4 linked regions of the Drosophila melanogaster genome follow. The protein of the gene in region 2 purifies or fractionates together with the protein of the main gene of each other region. This does not show direct contact. Each region holds a gene or a part of one and is shown on either strand. Other genes may lie near its edges.

What was found.
Region 1: the proteins of Arl2 (region 2) and Tbcc purify together in Drosophila melanogaster (affinity purification with western blotting, with the first as the bait; one study listed by BioGRID). This does not show direct contact.
Region 3: the proteins of Arl2 (region 2) and Tbce purify together in Drosophila melanogaster (affinity purification with western blotting, with the first as the bait; one study listed by BioGRID). This does not show direct contact.
Region 4: the proteins of Arl2 (region 2) and betaTub97EF purify together in Drosophila melanogaster (affinity purification with mass spectrometry, with the first as the bait; one large-scale study listed by BioGRID). This does not show direct contact.

Annotation. Positions count from the first base shown.
Region 1 is NT_033779.5:4,185,730-4,189,594, forward strand, and holds Tbcc (Tubulin-binding cofactor C), read right to left. Parts: upstream 2,065-3,865; 5' UTR 1,838-2,064; intron 1,771-1,837; 5' UTR 1,755-1,770; coding exon 687-1,754; 3' UTR 521-686; downstream 1-520. Other genes in the region: lectin-24Db, read left to right, coding at 2,419-3,498.
Region 2 is NT_033777.3:8,339,335-8,342,424, reverse strand, and holds Arl2 (ADP ribosylation factor-like 2), read right to left. Parts: upstream 1,326-3,090; 5' UTR 1,247-1,325; coding exon 1,182-1,246; intron 1,123-1,181; coding exon 768-1,122; intron 765-767; exon of another isoform or gene 710-764; coding exon 575-709; 3' UTR 555-574; downstream 1-554. Other genes in the region: PNKP (polynucleotide kinase 3'-phosphatase), read left to right, coding at 1-554; COX7A (cytochrome c oxidase subunit 7A), read left to right, coding at 1,557-1,601, 1,654-1,905. UniProt on the Drosophila melanogaster protein: GTP-binding protein involved in protein trafficking; may modulate vesicle budding and uncoating within the Golgi apparatus.
Region 3 is NT_033778.4:6,040,745-6,045,523, forward strand, and holds Tbce (Tubulin-binding cofactor E), read left to right. Parts: upstream 1-1,787; 5' UTR 1,788-1,905; intron 1,906-1,910; exon of another isoform or gene 1,911-1,964; 5' UTR 1,965-2,183; coding exon 2,184-2,279; intron 2,280-2,348; coding exon 2,349-2,821; intron 2,822-2,870; coding exon 2,871-3,294; intron 3,295-3,351; coding exon 3,352-3,634; intron 3,635-3,689; coding exon 3,690-3,985; 3' UTR 3,986-4,220; downstream 4,221-4,779. UniProt on the Drosophila melanogaster protein: Tubulin-folding protein which is required for the development of the neuronal microtubule network. Essential for the development and function of neuromuscular synapses.
Region 4 is NT_033777.3:27,985,325-27,989,990, forward strand, and holds the start of betaTub97EF (beta-Tubulin at 97EF), read right to left. Parts: upstream 3,061-4,666; 5' UTR 2,832-3,060; coding exon 2,775-2,831; intron 1-2,774. Other genes in the region: CG4815 (uncharacterized protein), read right to left, coding at 4,442-4,666.

The sequences.
Region 1 (3,865 bases), on a different chromosome or scaffold from region 2:
ATTGCGTATAAGTTTTGAAGTTGACAGTTCGAAAAAACTAAAATAAACAAAAATAAATTATTAATATCAATTTAGTTTTGCATCAAATCAGAAAACGCAATGAAAAGCATATGTACATACGAATTTGCTTTTCTAAAGTATTTCTTTACTTTTGCATTTTCAGAACAAACCTGATGTGTAAGTGGAGTGACCCGATCAATGTGCAGGCAATGGCTTGAGAGGTTCTGTTGTGGCCACATGAAACTTGCATGAGGCGCCGTCTTCCGCCCATTCCGGAATGTGTGTGGCAGCCACAGCCATTTTGGCCAACCACTGATTATGCCACATCCGAATTGGACATGTCAAATTAGCCACGACATAAACAAGAACAGATACATATGTACATACGCATGTACATATGTACATATGTTATCGAAGAAGTCAAACTTTAACTCACCCACTCCAAAATGATTACTGCTGAGATACTGAAAAAAATTTTGACAATGATTTGGAGTCCCTTAATATACAAGAGACTATTTTTGTTTTTTACATAATGGTTATTTAATCAACACGCTTATAGCTAATTACACAGATCGAGGATTAGATTTTGGGCCTGTAACTGAGGGCCGCAGCAGCATTTCCCAGAGCAGCCAACCGAGGATGATGCCGTAGGCTAGCCAACCGAGGAGCAGCCGCCGATGCCGCCACTAAATGATGGATATGTCCTTGACATCCTGCTTAAGTTCGCTGTTATGGTTATTGGCAATAAAGTCGCGCCTTAAGGCGTTCCAATTCGGATCGGGATAATCCTTGAGGAGGCTCCAGTTCGGCGAGGGGACATCCGGCGAAAGCCAGTTAAAATCGGCCACATCCGTATAGTTGTTCTGTGCCTTATTCAGTCCAGAAGCTAGGTAGTCGGCCTCCAGTTTGGAATAATCGTAGTTGTACTCTCCGATCTCAATACTCTTGCAATCCTCGATTATTGCGCGGCAGGTGACATGCATGTATATGCGAATGGACCGGGAGGAGTGCAACCTCAACTGCTGGCAGGCAATGGAGAGGGTGCAATCCTCGAGATTCTCGGCGAAGAAGGAGCGTGCGATGGGGCCGCATAGCAGCGTGCATTTGGAGGCCCTGGAAACCTGCACAGAACCGGGATGACCCTGCAGTTCAACCAAACAGTGGTTCAGTTTCGATATTGTGATGTCCTGGCCATTGACTTTAGCGGAATCCAGGACTATATGCTCGTTCGTTCGATTGGCAATCGTCCACGTGAAATTGGAGCCTAGTTTTTCTGGGACTTTACTGAGTTTCGCGTCGACTATATCCTTATTTGGAGGGACTTTTGGCTTTGTGACGGTCTTTTTGCCACTGAAACCAAACTTTTTCTTGGGCAACAGGCGCTGGCGGGTTTCATCACTGACGGCGGTCAGGGTGTTAAGGATATTCTGACAGGATTTGATCTTGAAGTCGGGCAGAAACATGGTGGATGCGGTGAGATATCGCTGCAGATCCTGGATCTCCACAGTTATGTCGGCGAAGTTTCTGGCCAAATCGGTTGGCTGGCCATCGCCGCACTGCACATCCTTTAATCGCTGCTCTATATCCATGGTTTTTTGGCTGAAAGTCTGGTAGAAGTAGTCAACGCCCTCGTTCTGCACTGTTTCCTTGGAACGCAGCTCCGATTTCACATCCAAATAGTTTTGCCTGTCCTTGTTTCTTTTGTTCAAACGCTCGAGGATTTGATCCTTGCGATTTTCCGCGTCGCCTTCCATGATTTTCGGTATCAATCTATAACGAAATATCTGGTTAAAAATCAATTTCTAGGGCATAACTTCTATTTGGCCGTATGAATCACAGTTGTTGTTGTTTTTCTTGCCAAGTTGCGCAGCTGCAGAGAAATGCATGGAAAACGCGGCTTTCTTACTGGGCACGTATCATATGCGCAGTGATTGTAGTTCAAATTAAGAGAAATTATATTATTTTTATTCTGTTTATTAACCTTTTGTTTAATTTTCTTATTATTTTGTGCAGCTGCTCACAATAACAAATGTTGCCTAATCGTTGTGAGTGTCAACAGTTATGTACTAAAAAAGACCAAACAACATTACCGTTTAATGCGCACGGTGAATGGCAACGGCGGCAAGAAGAAGAATACGCGCCAGGGAAATTTTAGATTTGAATTTTTTATAGGAGAAATGCGATAATATTAATTATGAACTCTTGTAAGCAGCGTAAGAAACTTAATACAATCAAACATCTCGCCGAACACAAAGCACATTGAATGTCGCCCACAGAAGCGATAAATTCTTGATAAATGCAAAAACGGAATTAAATTTAAATTATGGGTCTTATCTTTTTTGCTCTGTAGAACCTTTTACATAAAATGCGGATCAGTACGTTTTATTTCTGCGCTTGCAGTGGTTGTGCGATATCAAAATGTTTAGGCTTGAAAAATGTATTGTGTACTTACTTGTTGCCTGCAATCTGGTTGAATCACGAGCGGAATCCACAGAAAATTCCCGATCCGTGTGCCTTCTGAAAGATCCGCCAAATCAGTGCGGAGAATTCTGCCTTTCGGTGCTCCAACCGCTATTGGATCACATTGTAAAGCACCAGGAGCAATGGAACACCTCCGAGGCCCTCTGGCTGAACGAAACCCAGGGCAAATTGGACAGGATACAGACCCAGCTGGCGGCACAAGCGCTATCCTTGGAGGAATCAGCGCAGAAGGTTCCAGGAGACATCAAGGATAGACTGGACCGAATGGAACATCTTCAGACGACACTGCAGGAGTCTCTAAAGAAAATGCCAGCTGAACTCGATGCGAGGCTAATGAAAATGGAAAATCAGCAAAAGACATTGGGCGACCAGTTGGAAAATCAAATCAATCTCACCAAGGAATCTCAGCAGGATCAGTTGGAAGCCCTAAAGAACGCCATGCCGATAAATTTCGAAATGCGGCTGGCTCAGATTGAAGAACAGCAGAAGTTACTTCAGGAAACTCTAAAGAAGATCCCAGAGGATTTTGAACGGAAATTGCAAAAGTTGGAGCAGAATCAGAAGGATGAGCTGACCAAGCTGGGAGCTCAGCAGTCCGCCAACCAAGTCACACTCAAGGAAATTTATACCAAGGTCTTCTGGCCGAAATTTGAGCGAATCGGCTCTAGACTCTTCTACATAAATCACAAGGATGCCTACGACTGGCAATCCGCTGTAGACTTCTGTCGTGACATGGGTGGCTATATAGCCGCCATCAAGGATCAAGAGGAGCTGGACGCCATTTCAGCGAGACTGGACGACAAGAGCTACTGGCTGGGCATAAACGACTTGCAAAGCAGTAACACCTACGTATCCGTGGCATCCGGCAGGGAAGTTGAATTCCTCAATTGGAATGCGGGCGAACCCAATCACGGCAATGAAGATGAGAACTGTGTGGAGCTGATTAGGAGCAAAATGAACGATGATCCGTGCCACAGAAAGAAGCATGTTATTTGTCAAACCGACAAAGAAGTTTAAATGAAAACACTGTCTTTGCATATTCGAAATAAATAAAAGATACAGATACTAAAAACTATTCCCAAACTGTCGTAGAAAGTTGATTTCTCTTTGCGGCGCTCTTTTACCTTTTAGTTAAATACATAATCGCAGTATGTATGTAGTTATATATAGATAGAGTAGTTATAGTTGTGTGCTTGATGTGTTGTGCCCTACTGCGTGCAAATGTCCTAAAAAGCATTTGTACTTCTAACATTCATCCTTCGTTCGCAACATTTCAACACTTAAGTACTAGAAAAATATTAAAGACATATTTATTCCGTTCCGATATTTGGTTGTAACTTAGTAACTCGATTTGGGTTCGTGATTCCTGTGCATCCTGATTCTA
Region 2 (3,090 bases):
ACTTTGAACCCACTAGCGTTCAGGACCAAGTATCTCTGCTTGATCCGGATGACTTGACCCTCGATGACCACCCCTGCGAAATGGTCATCATGGTGGGTCTGCCAGGATCCGGAAAGAGCCACTTTTGTTCCAGCTTTTTTCAACCGCGGGGCTACAAAATCGTCAATGCAGATACATTGGGTAGCACTCAAAACTGCCTGACTGCCTGTAAACGGTTCCTGGACTCGGGCCAATCATGTGTGGTGGATAACACCAATGTGGATGCAGCTTCTCGAAAAAAATTCTTGCAGTTGGCCAGCGAAAAGATGATTCCATGCCGCTGCCTTGTGATGAATGTGCCCGTCGCCCAAGTGAAGCACAATATAGCTTTCCGAGAGCTATCAGACTCCGCGCGCACCAAGATCAAGGACATGGTATTTAACATGATGAAGAAAAAGTACCAGGAACCCGCCCTAGACGAAGGATTTATATCCATACACAAGGTGAACTTTAAGCCCAATTTTGCGGACGAAAAGCAGGAAAAGCTATACAAAATGTACTTGGTCGAGAAATAAGGAAGTAAAATAAATTGTATTTAATCCAAAGTGAATATACGCTTAGCTATATCGGCGATCAACCAGTCCATGGAGCTAAGCAGTTTCTCGCCAGTCACTGCACTAACTCCGGCCACCAGCCAATGATGTGTGGTGATATCCTCTAGGTGTAGTATCTTTAAATATAAAGTATATTAAATGTGTTGTTTCAATAAAAAATCAATGAGAGTGAACCTCTTTAATTTCGTTGGATGAGAGGGCTCCCGGTAGATCCTGTTTGTTGCAGAGAACTAGGAGTGTGGCTCCAGCTAATCGCTCTTCCTGGAGCAGAACTTGCAGCTCCTGGCCGCAGGACTCTAGGCGCATCCTGTCAGCGCTATCCACCACCCAGACCAGACCATCAGTGGACTCGAAGTAGTTTCTCCAGTAGGATCGCAGAGACTTCTGGCCACCGACATCCCACATATTCAGGGTGTAGCCGTTGTGCTCCAAGGTTTTAATATTGAATCCCAGTGTGGGTGAGATGGTGTCTATGGGTTCGCCATTAAAGCGCTTCAGGATTGTCGTCTTGCCGGCATTATCCAGACCTCTATAAGAAAGTCGATACATGAATCACTATTTATTTTTTTATAATTCCATGGAACTCACAGCAGTAATATGCGCATTTCCCTTTCCTTCTGTCGCATCTTTTTTAATACTGTGAGGAAGCCCATGACAACGTCTGTATTTTAGTAACGCTATGGAATTATAAACAAATGTTTTTATTGGCAGCTGCTTAAATTGTTTATTAAACTAAATAGGAATTTCCAGGTGAATGCCAAACTGCTGGAAATATCGACATCGATGTATCGATAATACATCGATATATCTCCAGTTGTCAGCTGTCATATTTCAGACCGATATTTTTCGCCCAGGAAAACTGCTCACTTTTTGCTAAATCTTAAAAATAAACCCCAGCAAAATGATGAACCTGTCGAGAGTAAGTAATTTACATTACTCTACACACCTTTCTGGAGGAACAGCATGAGTTCCGAAACACTGGAGATCCCATTACCTACATCCAATTACGTAAGTTCCCTGGAGCCTCAGAACTAACCGCACATTTTGTACTCCTCGGCAGGCTGTTGTCCGTAGCTTCGCTACCACCGCTGGCCGCCGGTCCGCCGCCGTGCCCAAGGACCAGATCGAGAAGGGATACTTCGAGATCCGCAAGGTGCAGGAGCACTTTCAGAAGAAGGACGGCAAGCCCGTCTTCCTCAAGGGATCCGTCGTGGACAACGTGCTCTACCGCGTCACCGTCGCTCTCGCCCTCGTCGGCATCGGTGGCATGGGCAAGCTTTTCTACGAGCTGAGTGTTCCCAAGAAGGAGTGAAGTCGCAGTACCGAACCCTAAGCTAAGCCATTAAACCCCGCGCAAGATCCGTGATTCAGCGTAGTCGCCTTATATTTCAATGTTTTGATTGTGTAAGTTCCATTTTTTAGAATTTTGTGTTTATGCTAGGTTGCTAAGTTCTTGACATAAAATATGACATTATCCAAGGACAACATTCCGTAAACTATTCCCTGTATTTGTCTAATAAATTTATAGACTATGTTTAAACCTTAAGTTATAATATTTGTTTGCAAACTAGCATCTTAAAGTCTCCGTCTTATACAATAATAGTTTAATTAGGAATTTTATTTGTACAATAATAGATATGTGTAACATGAGAACCACTTGCCTAAGAGATCTGCCATTCAGATACAACATCTATCCCAAAAGTTTGTAACTAATCGCAATCCTTAATCCCTTTATCTTGCAGAGCCTTGCCCTGGATACCTGGACAACATGAAACACCCCAACCTACAACCTGGCTTATTGTTTTGTGTTAGAATAGCTAAGATTTGATGTGTAAACTGAACATTCGCAAGAGCATTTAAAGCGTGGAAATATAAGAGATCTGGCTGTAAAGTAACGAGACTGCTTATTTGTTTTAGGCACGGTCGCTGGCAACGAGATATTTGCCCAAAAGTATTTCCCCTTAATTGCATTGACATTAAGTAAACAAACAGCGGCGACATGGAGCAGAGATCTGGGATGCGGTCGAGACTGGGGAATCGGCTAAGGAAACGGCCTGTTTTATAAATCAAAGGGCGGCAACTCGGCGCGTTGCCATTGGCATGGAAATGCATTTTAAATCGAGCGAATCATGTTGCGCTTTAACACAAGCACAGGCCCATGCACGCCGCCCGTTTATTAATACCCGAGTGCGGCGGAATATGCAATTCATGACGTTTTTCATTAGTTATTCTCCATAAACACTTAAATAAAACTAAAGCATTAAAAATTATGAAAACATCCGCCGCTTTATGCATTTTCCCTGGCATTTTCCACACACTCACAACGGGCAGTGCGTCACGAAACTGTTGTGGAATTTAAGAAATATGTTAGTTATTAAACGAGAAATAATATTTAACAGATAGTTTCCGCAAACAGTTGCATGTTCTCAAGTCTAAGAGTATATTCCCTTATAGAAAACTCGTATAGTGAACTTAGTAAGTAACTTATCCTTATAGT
Region 3 (4,779 bases), on a different chromosome or scaffold from region 2:
TACAATCCACTCTTTTTCAGTATATACGAATGATATTACCGTGCACTACAAGAATGCAAGCCCAACTGCAATTAACAGTAATTGGCGTAGCCATTCAGCAGCATTGCAAAACTACAGAAAGGGACCAAAAATGTAGATTTGAACAATTTTAAACTGGCTGGATATTGACTCGCATCAGTAATATAAAATTCTCCATAAAAATGCACCTCAGTTTTCAATGATAAAATAGAATGTAATGATAGATAGAATGTAAATGATAGAATGATGCGTTTTCGACCTTATAAAGTATTTTCCTTCAGGATCACTAGCCAAGTCGATTTGGCCGGACGGACGGACATGTCCCGATGAACGTCGAGATCTCAGGAACTAAACAAGCTAGAACGTTAAGAATAAGCATGCTGAAACGCAGGTACTGATGTAGCCACGCCCACAACCTGCGAAAAACTGTCACACCCACACTTAAAAATTTGTTTTTCAATTTCTATCGATATGCCAAAAAATGTTTCAATTTCTCGTTAGTAATTCCACTAGCTGGAGTATCTGATAGTCAACGAACTCGACTATAGCGATCTCTCTTGTTTTTATTTACTTGCGCACCGGCCATACATTGGTTTTACATTATCCACCACTTTTTTGGTGGCCGCAAATTAAACCGAATAGGATTATATTTTTAGATTATCATTGGGAATGAGTTAGAATTAATTTAATAACAATCTAATAGTAAAATTTACTGGAGCAAATGAATGTAAATATGATTGCGAAAAATTAACGACACTGATCAAATATAATTCTGCTGCAAAGTGCTCAAGTGCATAATAAACATTTGCAGGACACTCTAGGAAGTCGACAAAAACAATACATATATATATGGGGATATACTGTCCGCTTGCTTAAAAATGTCTTTCATGGCTCCATATTTCAGATCTTAAACACCGCACTTGAAAACACCGAATTTAAATTATCTCAAAATCAAAGAATCCAAATTAACATTACAATTAAAATACGGCGGGTTGCTAATGAAATTATGTATTTTTTTTTTCTAAAATTATTAAAATTAGAGAATATCTCGAACTCAATTTGATAAAATATTTACTAAAATAAGTAGCTACGAAGGGGCATTAGTGGTAAACACATTAACAAGCTGTTAGCTTAGTACAACATTTGAATTTGAAAATGGCGCACTATCAGAATGACTATCGATGTATGCATTACCACGAAAGTTACTGCACTACATGTAGAAAATACAATCTCCTTGAAAATCCCAAATAAATAATAATCTCATAAATAGTTTATAAATTACAAGACTTTTTATGAAACTCGCATTTTAGAACATCTATGAATCGGGTATTGATTTTGGCTTCCTATTTTATATATATTTTCATGTAGCTTTTAAACAGTCGTATATAAATAGATCTGTCAAAACAATGAAGAAACATGTTAATATTAAAGGCCCCAAGATACAAAAAATTCGCAATTCCTCAATCAATCGCTGCGAACTCACTTGCGCGCAAAGCTGTTCAATAATGTTTTATTCATAAAGTCTTGCTGAAATTCTCTGTAGCAAATATCATTTAGCTAGATTTCAATCTTTTGTATTTTTCAAAAAAGTCATTTAGAATGTGACACAAAACAGTTTCGGTTCATGAAATAGGACTTATCAGCGACTTTGACATATTTAATTGTTATTAATGGCTAATATTACATACCTTTAACAAGAACGTAGATCGAACTTGATATAATCGTCTGATTGACTGAGATGGCATTGGAAAAGTAAAAAAAACCAGGAAGCAATTTAAGGTATCATTTTTTAAAAAAAAAGTTGTTACCCTACGTTGGACGTAACGAATCCTTACGTTTTGCTCATTTAACGCCCCTCGAAGTGTGACCAGTCCGCGTAATGAATAGGTATTTCATTGATATCTGCTTACAGCCACATTTGACTAAACACTAAATATAAATAATAGTTTGTGACTCAGAATTTAGGCTTCAGGAGCTACGCAAAGCTTTATTTCCTCTTCATCAAAGCTGTAATGTTGATGTAAATCCAGGAGAAATCGTTTACAGCTATATCTGAACACATTCTGGGAGCAGCTGCGAATAAGCAGACAAAGGTGTGAACGAGTGTGTAACAGCCGTGTATACTTGTGTGGGCGCCGAGGAAACTACAAACAAGAGCCAAAGCGATGGTGGGAATTATCGATGAGGTGCAGCTTTTTTATCCCCTAGGAACCCGCATCAAAATTGGGGACAACTACGGCACAGTGCGTTATGTGGGAGAGGTGAGCCGTTGGCTGGTTTGGCTTCCGCAGGCATAAGACTTAATCCCAACCTGCTATCCGTATTTTTAGGTGAGCGGCCATATGGGTAGCTGGCTGGGAATAGAATGGGACGACGGACTGCGTGGCAAACACAACGGCATCGTGGACGGCAAGCGCTACTTTCAGACGCAGACACCCACGGGAGGCAGCTTCATCCGACCGGGAAAGGTAGGGCCGTGTGCCACCCTGGAGGACGCTGCTCGGGAGCGGTACCTAAACTACGACTCGAGCAACGTCGACGAGTCTCTTATCCGGGAAGCTCAGGCCAGCCTGCAGGCGTCGCTTTTTGAAGTCGTGGGCATGGACAAGATCGCTCGCAAGCAAAGCAAGTTCGAGCAACTGGAGGAGGTGAGTGTAGACCAGACGCCGGTAAACGCTGCCGGTTACCTGAAGGAGTTGACACACCTCACAACGTTGAACGTAAGCCATACCTTAATCTGGAATTGGGAGATCGTGGCCAGCATAGCGCAACAGCTACCCTCCTTAACCAACCTGAACCTGAGGTAAGTAAAAATAAGTAAAATGTGCCACTTTAATTGCCAAACCTTTTAGCTCCAACCGATTGGTCCTGCCCACGTCATCCCAAATCACTGAGCTTGAGCCCTCATTTCGGCAGCTCAAACGCATCAACCTTCGCAGTTGTGGCTTTTCCGACTGGAAGGATGTAATGCACACAGCGCTTCTCTGGCCAAATATTTTGTCACTGGGCTTACAGGAGAATTCACTCGGCCAGCTAGCAGAAGTCGATCGAACAAAGATATTTAAGCAGCTACATGAACTCGACTTACACCGCACGAACATTATGGATTTTGACCAGGTGACAAAGTTGGGCAACCTCACGACTTTGCGCTTACTGAATATCATGGAGAATGGTATCGAGGAGATAAAACTTCCCGACTGTGATTCACAAGAAAAGCTTAATATTTTTGTCTCGCTGGAGCAGCTGAACCTGCTTCACAATCCCATTTGGAATGAGGTAGGGCAGCGTTTTTTTGGCACTAAAAAATTTACTGTCATAATGTTATCCTCGCAGGCTGATGCGTTTAACGAGCTGGACAAGCTGCCACAGCTGAAACGCCTGAGTAAGACTCCGCACTTAAAGTCAAACTTTGATGAAATGTTCTCCAAAGCTGTAGCTAGCATAGCCAGCCTGCAGTTCATTAATAAAGCCGAGGTGACAGCGGAACAGAGACGTGGAGCCGAGTACGATATTTGGAAAAAGTATGCTCTAGATTGGATGCAGGCGACGCAAGGGGGGACAGATTCCTTACGGGAGTTTTGCCGAAGACATCGCACCTACCCCCTGCTGGTTAAAAGTAAGCTACTATCTGCCTTGGACATTCCAAAATTATTTAATATATATGTTTACAGAGTACGGTTCCCCGGCAGACTTTGTACCGCGTAGTCAAGCGAAGCAGTCGAATTTGATTAATGTTTCCATAAGACATCAGCTGACGGGCGAAACCTGGGAGAAGAAAGTCCCGCGAATGATTACTGTGCAGACGCTGCAGGGATTGGTTATGAAGCGATTCCGGTTAAGCGGTGACGTCCCGCAGCTTTGCTACGTTGATGCGTTGCATCCGGATCTTGTGGTACCATTGGATAACAATGCTAAAACACTGGACTTTTATTCTGTACAGGAGCATGATACAGTTTTGGTTCAATAGCGGCCAGTATAATAGCACGGACTTTGCACCATTCTCCGTATTTAGATGTATTACAGTTTTAGACAAATGAAAATCAAAAATTCTTGTTCGATTTTACTTCTGTCTCCCTCTGTTTTAAAGTGCAAATGTTATGTTAAGGTACTAATAAGTTGAACATTTCACTAAGCAATTCCACTCAGATATTTATACTGTTTTGCTTTTCAAAAAAGAAAACACGTTATTTAACCAGATAATTAAAAAAGCTTTTTTGCTATTATTGTGGGACATAACGATGTTATCAGCTGTATTAAAGTTGAAGTAAATGTGTATTGGATTGGAAATCAACAAAAATACCGGCCGACGGCCATGGCAAGTTCGACAAGCGAAGCTACTGATCCTTGTCGAGAACATATATATTTTAATATCTTAAAAGCGGCGGGCGCAGAAACGTTATCTTTTCAATTTATGAAGCCATGCTAATAATGTGGGACATTTTTCTTTAGCGACCTCAACAGTCCGATAACTTCCTTACTCGTATAGTAAAAGGTAACTATAATTGTAGAGAAGCGCAACCTTGTTGTCGAACAGTTGCTCCTACTAGTTGAGCAACAGGTAGCTAGTTTTCTCTGATGTTTATTACTTTCCTCTGGATTCTATAATCAGCAATAATTTATGAAGAATGTAAATTCAACAGCAATTCTCAGTTTCCAAAAATATTTTCCCTAATGTAATAAATCGCTAAAATTTGCATAATTCGGCTCCAGCAACTGTCGCCTGGCATTATCATTAATAGAGTCGGACTTAATTGTTGACAA
Region 4 (4,666 bases), about 20 Mb from region 2:
CCAGCGAGCGTCATCGATAATTCAATTTTGTGCATTATTTTGGCGCTGCTCGATGATGCCCTGCCATTATGGGCCAAACAAACGTATCCTGGGGCAGACTATATGGGTGTGCCACACTGCATGCCACACTGGCTAAAAGGAGCCGTTGCAGCCTGGCTTATTCCACTCTTTAATTTTATTGTCTGTTCTTGCTTGACTTTCTCCGCTTTCCCCTTTTGCTCCCATTTTCTACGTTCTGCTCGTCTATAAATTTCTCCGCCATGGTGGCACAACGCTTTTCCTTCGGCTTTATGCCGTGCCCGTAAATAGATTTTCCTTGTTATTGTTCACAAAATGATTTAGGGAAAATTAGGTTTATGTAAATAATGAAGAAAAAGAAAAACGAACTCTAGCTGCAGGCCAAAATATCCTTGGATAGATGCCTTTGCCTCGCTCGATACATACATACATACATATGTGATCAATTTCGTGGTGTTGGCAGAGGAAGGCCGGAAGACGTTTTCGACGGCATTTTGCCATATTTAATCGAAGCCAAGAGAATGGCTTAAATTGCTGTCTGCCTTAAAATCGAATTGAACTTAACGTGATTCAATGAAAACATTATGTTTACAAAACATGCGTACGCTGCCGGGATTTCAATTGTTAAGCTCTGTTTTTATAATTACAATCCATTCTGTTTGCAGCCCGTTCATGTGTGAATAAGCTCTGCTCTTAATGTGTAATCAATCTGTTAAGTTTTTTTTTTTTATTTGCTTATTGGCCTTTATCAGCGGAGCAATTAGTTTTGAAAATTTATTTAAAAATCACATTCACCATTTACGCCATTCACCATTGTGCAAACTATTTTGCCACGTAGGCAGTTTTGCACATTTATTATTTGTTTATTCTAGGCTGCAACAATATTTCATACTGACAGCCAATTAATCAGAAAAGGACATTCAATTAAGGCACAAAATCGGGCAGTGTGCAAAAAAAAAAAAAAAAAAAAAAAACAACACAAGAGCATGAATAGGACATGCAACAAAATATGTTCGCCATTATTATATTCAAATTTAATGCACCAACAAACAGGCTTTATGCCATCTATAAAAATTCGATAAGCGCAAATTGCATAAATAATCGTATTTATTTTTTAACTGCACAATAGCTACACATAACAATGGCCGCAAAATATGGATGTAATAATGCTCTGATTCGGGGGCGTACAAAATCGGATGTTGGGCTTGGCTTATCCCGGAAAAGTGCGTTCTAATTAACTGCAAAAGGCAGTGGTGAAAACACGCAAAAAAGTACTTTAAAATATGTGGAAATGTGTTTGCATAAAACTCAAGAGGAAAAGCGCGCAATGCGAGCGCAAAGAGAAACGGTCAGAGAAAACTGCTCTGGGAAATGCCGGGAAAAAGACAAAAACATATAAAAAAAATAAGCATTATAAAAACAAAAACTGTGTCAAACGTCAACGACTTTTTGTAGCTGGATTTTCATGACGCAGCAAATTGTGCGAGTTAATGTTAATGCGCTGAATTAGCTTAGAATGGGCGCTGTTTTCATTTCCACTCCTCTAATTGCCCGCAAACATGCTGCCGCTTTTCTACTCAAAATACCAGAACACACTATGTAATTGCTATTTTCGGCGCAACCCATATCAGTTCTTACTTTTCGGGTATTTATGTTTAAAGTTGTGTAAACAAGCCCACTGATTAGAGGCCGCCGATAGTGAAAGCAGCGCACACATAAGCCCGCCACTTTGTCACAGTCAGCCATGAATCAGATACATATATCGGTTCAAGATACAGATACATTATTTACAAGCCCCTCTGTCGTAATTAGAAGTACCCACGAAACCTTCGACGAGTTCTTTATGACAGTAAGATCAGCCAACTGTGCGAGGGCAAACATCATAAAAGCCTGTGAAAAGTACTAGTTTACAGAACCAGTTAGTTGTGTTAATTGTCCAAAAGACGGAAGTTTCTGAGAAACCTTCGAGCCAGTTTCAAAATGCTACTAACAGGGCACTAAGCTGCCGCATTTTACTCTGAGTTCCCGCCAAAAATACTTGGTTCACAGATCGGATTTCTTGAAACGAGAAACCTCCAGGTACACTGAAAAAAAAATATCAACTTCTATTCTATAATAACAAATGAATAAAAAGGATCTGTAATTCAATTTTAAATCATAATTGTGTTTAAATGGAAACTACTTTATAACGATTAAATAATCATATAAAGTTTATTTATCTTTTTAAAGGTACTACTTTTTTTCTTGCTGTGCAGATTTGCATAGCCGGCTGATCACAAGCTCTCAACTGAGCGGCGATCTAATTGTTTACACCTGACTGAGGTGATTTTGCTTAGTTTGCGAGCGGATTTCTGGGTTTAATTCACTGCGATATGCTGCGAGTCCAAGGTAATTTAAATGCGATACTTTAAGGTTGCTGATATTCGTATCTTGCGAGCGATAAGATAAGTGCCAAGTACGTTAGGTTTCTTCAATGTTTTGCAGTTTTATAGTTTCCCGAACTGGCAAAATAATCTATGCCACCCCCCACCAACCCCCCACCCATTTTAATTGCTGGCCACTAAAAACAAAACGTGAAAAGCCAAGAGAGAGAGAGAGAGAGAGAAAGTCGCAGTGAGAGAGGCAAAGAGCGCTCTTTCTTCATTTCCCCCTGTTTTATAATTAAACATGTGAGGTTAGGATAGTAGCGAAAAGTAGCTATAAAATAGAGCAAAGGTCTGTGATGCGAACACCGATGGAATATCAATTATACGCACCTTCGAACCGATCTGATTGCCGCACTGGCCCGCCTGCAGATGCACAATTTCCCTCATTTCGCAAATGAACTAGTAACTTTTGGCAGCCAAACTTAACTCAATTGAACACACTGACGCACACACGCACTATCAGCAATTATCAGCCACTATATCAATCTGAATCTGAATCCGAATCTGAGTCACAATCGGTCACGCATTCGGTTGAATCCGGTGAAGAGTCGGAGGAGAGCTTTTCGTGAGCAGAACGATCGACACGCGTTCGCTTTGAGAATCCAACGTGAACTGAATGAATGGCGAGAAACCGAACGCGACCCGCTGGGGAATTTGTGCTCTACGGTTAAAGGGGGCCGCATTAGTTTTCCACTCGGAAAAATATTTATAAAAAAATGCCTTTACAAATTGGCATGATAAGAAATGATAAAATTATGGTTTGCAATCTTAGATTAATATATTGTAGATAGTTTTGGTGATGTATTGAATTTAGTATAACAATTTTTCATATCAAACAGATGATCAGAGATCAGAGTTCTAAAAATACAAAAGTTTTTACAAAGAAACTTTTGTTACTCTTAAAAATTATAAATATTATAGTTGTAATAACGTGCTGCTGTTATCTTGGGCACAGCTGTATATACATTTTTAGAGTCCCTATAAAACAGGTTTATTTTATTAAACAGGTTATTATTTTTTTTTTACAGGTGGAACATTTCATTAATACATGACCCAAATTACATCAATACTTTAGATAAAGATTATTAATTAGAACGTTGGTTATGTTTAAAACAATGCCTCTTAAATGATGAACAATAAAAACAAATTTCATTCGAAAACCTATGAATACCCGAACCATTTATTCATGCTAAGTTCCTCTTCATTAGTGAGTATATTTATTTGAATCACTATCCAAAATTGCGGCAATATCTTCCCTGATTTCTCGAAGTGCAGAGAGCGCGAAGAGCAGAGGTCGTAAATACATTAGTTTAAGTGAAACTGTGGGACAAAACAAGATATTTTCCATAGCAGCGTGTTTGTCTTCCCGCTTTTCCCGACTTTTCCCCTTTATCGTATGATTTTTACCGGCTAGGCGCCAACAATGCAATTCTTTCTCTCCCATCTTACGCTTCGCTGAGCTGGTGAGAATTCTTAGGGAAAAGATAGAGAGAGGGGAGAGAAAGAAGAGAGTCGAAGAATGAGGTAACAGCACGTGAGTCTAAGGTGCAAAGAGCGCCACATTCTACATTCTACAACTGCATTCTTCAATCAGATTTGTAGAATTGTACATGGACGTACAAGATTGAAATGTAGCCAAATGTAAAAATGTAATTGAAATATATAAAGTTAGTTGTTTGAGTATTGAACATATATTTTATTATATGCTATTTAATCAGTATATTTTTGTTTTCCAATTACAACCTTGTAAATCATAGAATCGTAGCTTGAACAAACCAAACTTATCTACATGAATAATTGGAAGCGGTTTAGTTAGTCATTTTAGACATCTAGGTTATCAGCTTCATGAGATTGACAATAAAAAACGCTGCTGAAATGGAATAACATGAAGTCTGTCGAGTCACACACACTTAATACCAGTTTAAAATTTAATTTATGACTAAGTTGTAAACTTAGATAGACAGTATTTTTATTTTGTGATACTCAAATAAATTTCTTCAAAAGCCCATTCTGTTAATAGTTCTTTTAATAAACTTGGCGTAGTATCGCACACCCATGTATACGTCTGGCTTTTCGTTGTTGCCGCATTTGAAAGTCCACGTGTTGATGCCACAAACTTGCCGCCCCAACAGAAGTGGTCCACCGGAGTCGCCGAAGCAGAGAGTCTTGTTGTTGTAGGCACCGGCACAGATGATATTGGGTGGCATCTTGCGATCCAGCTG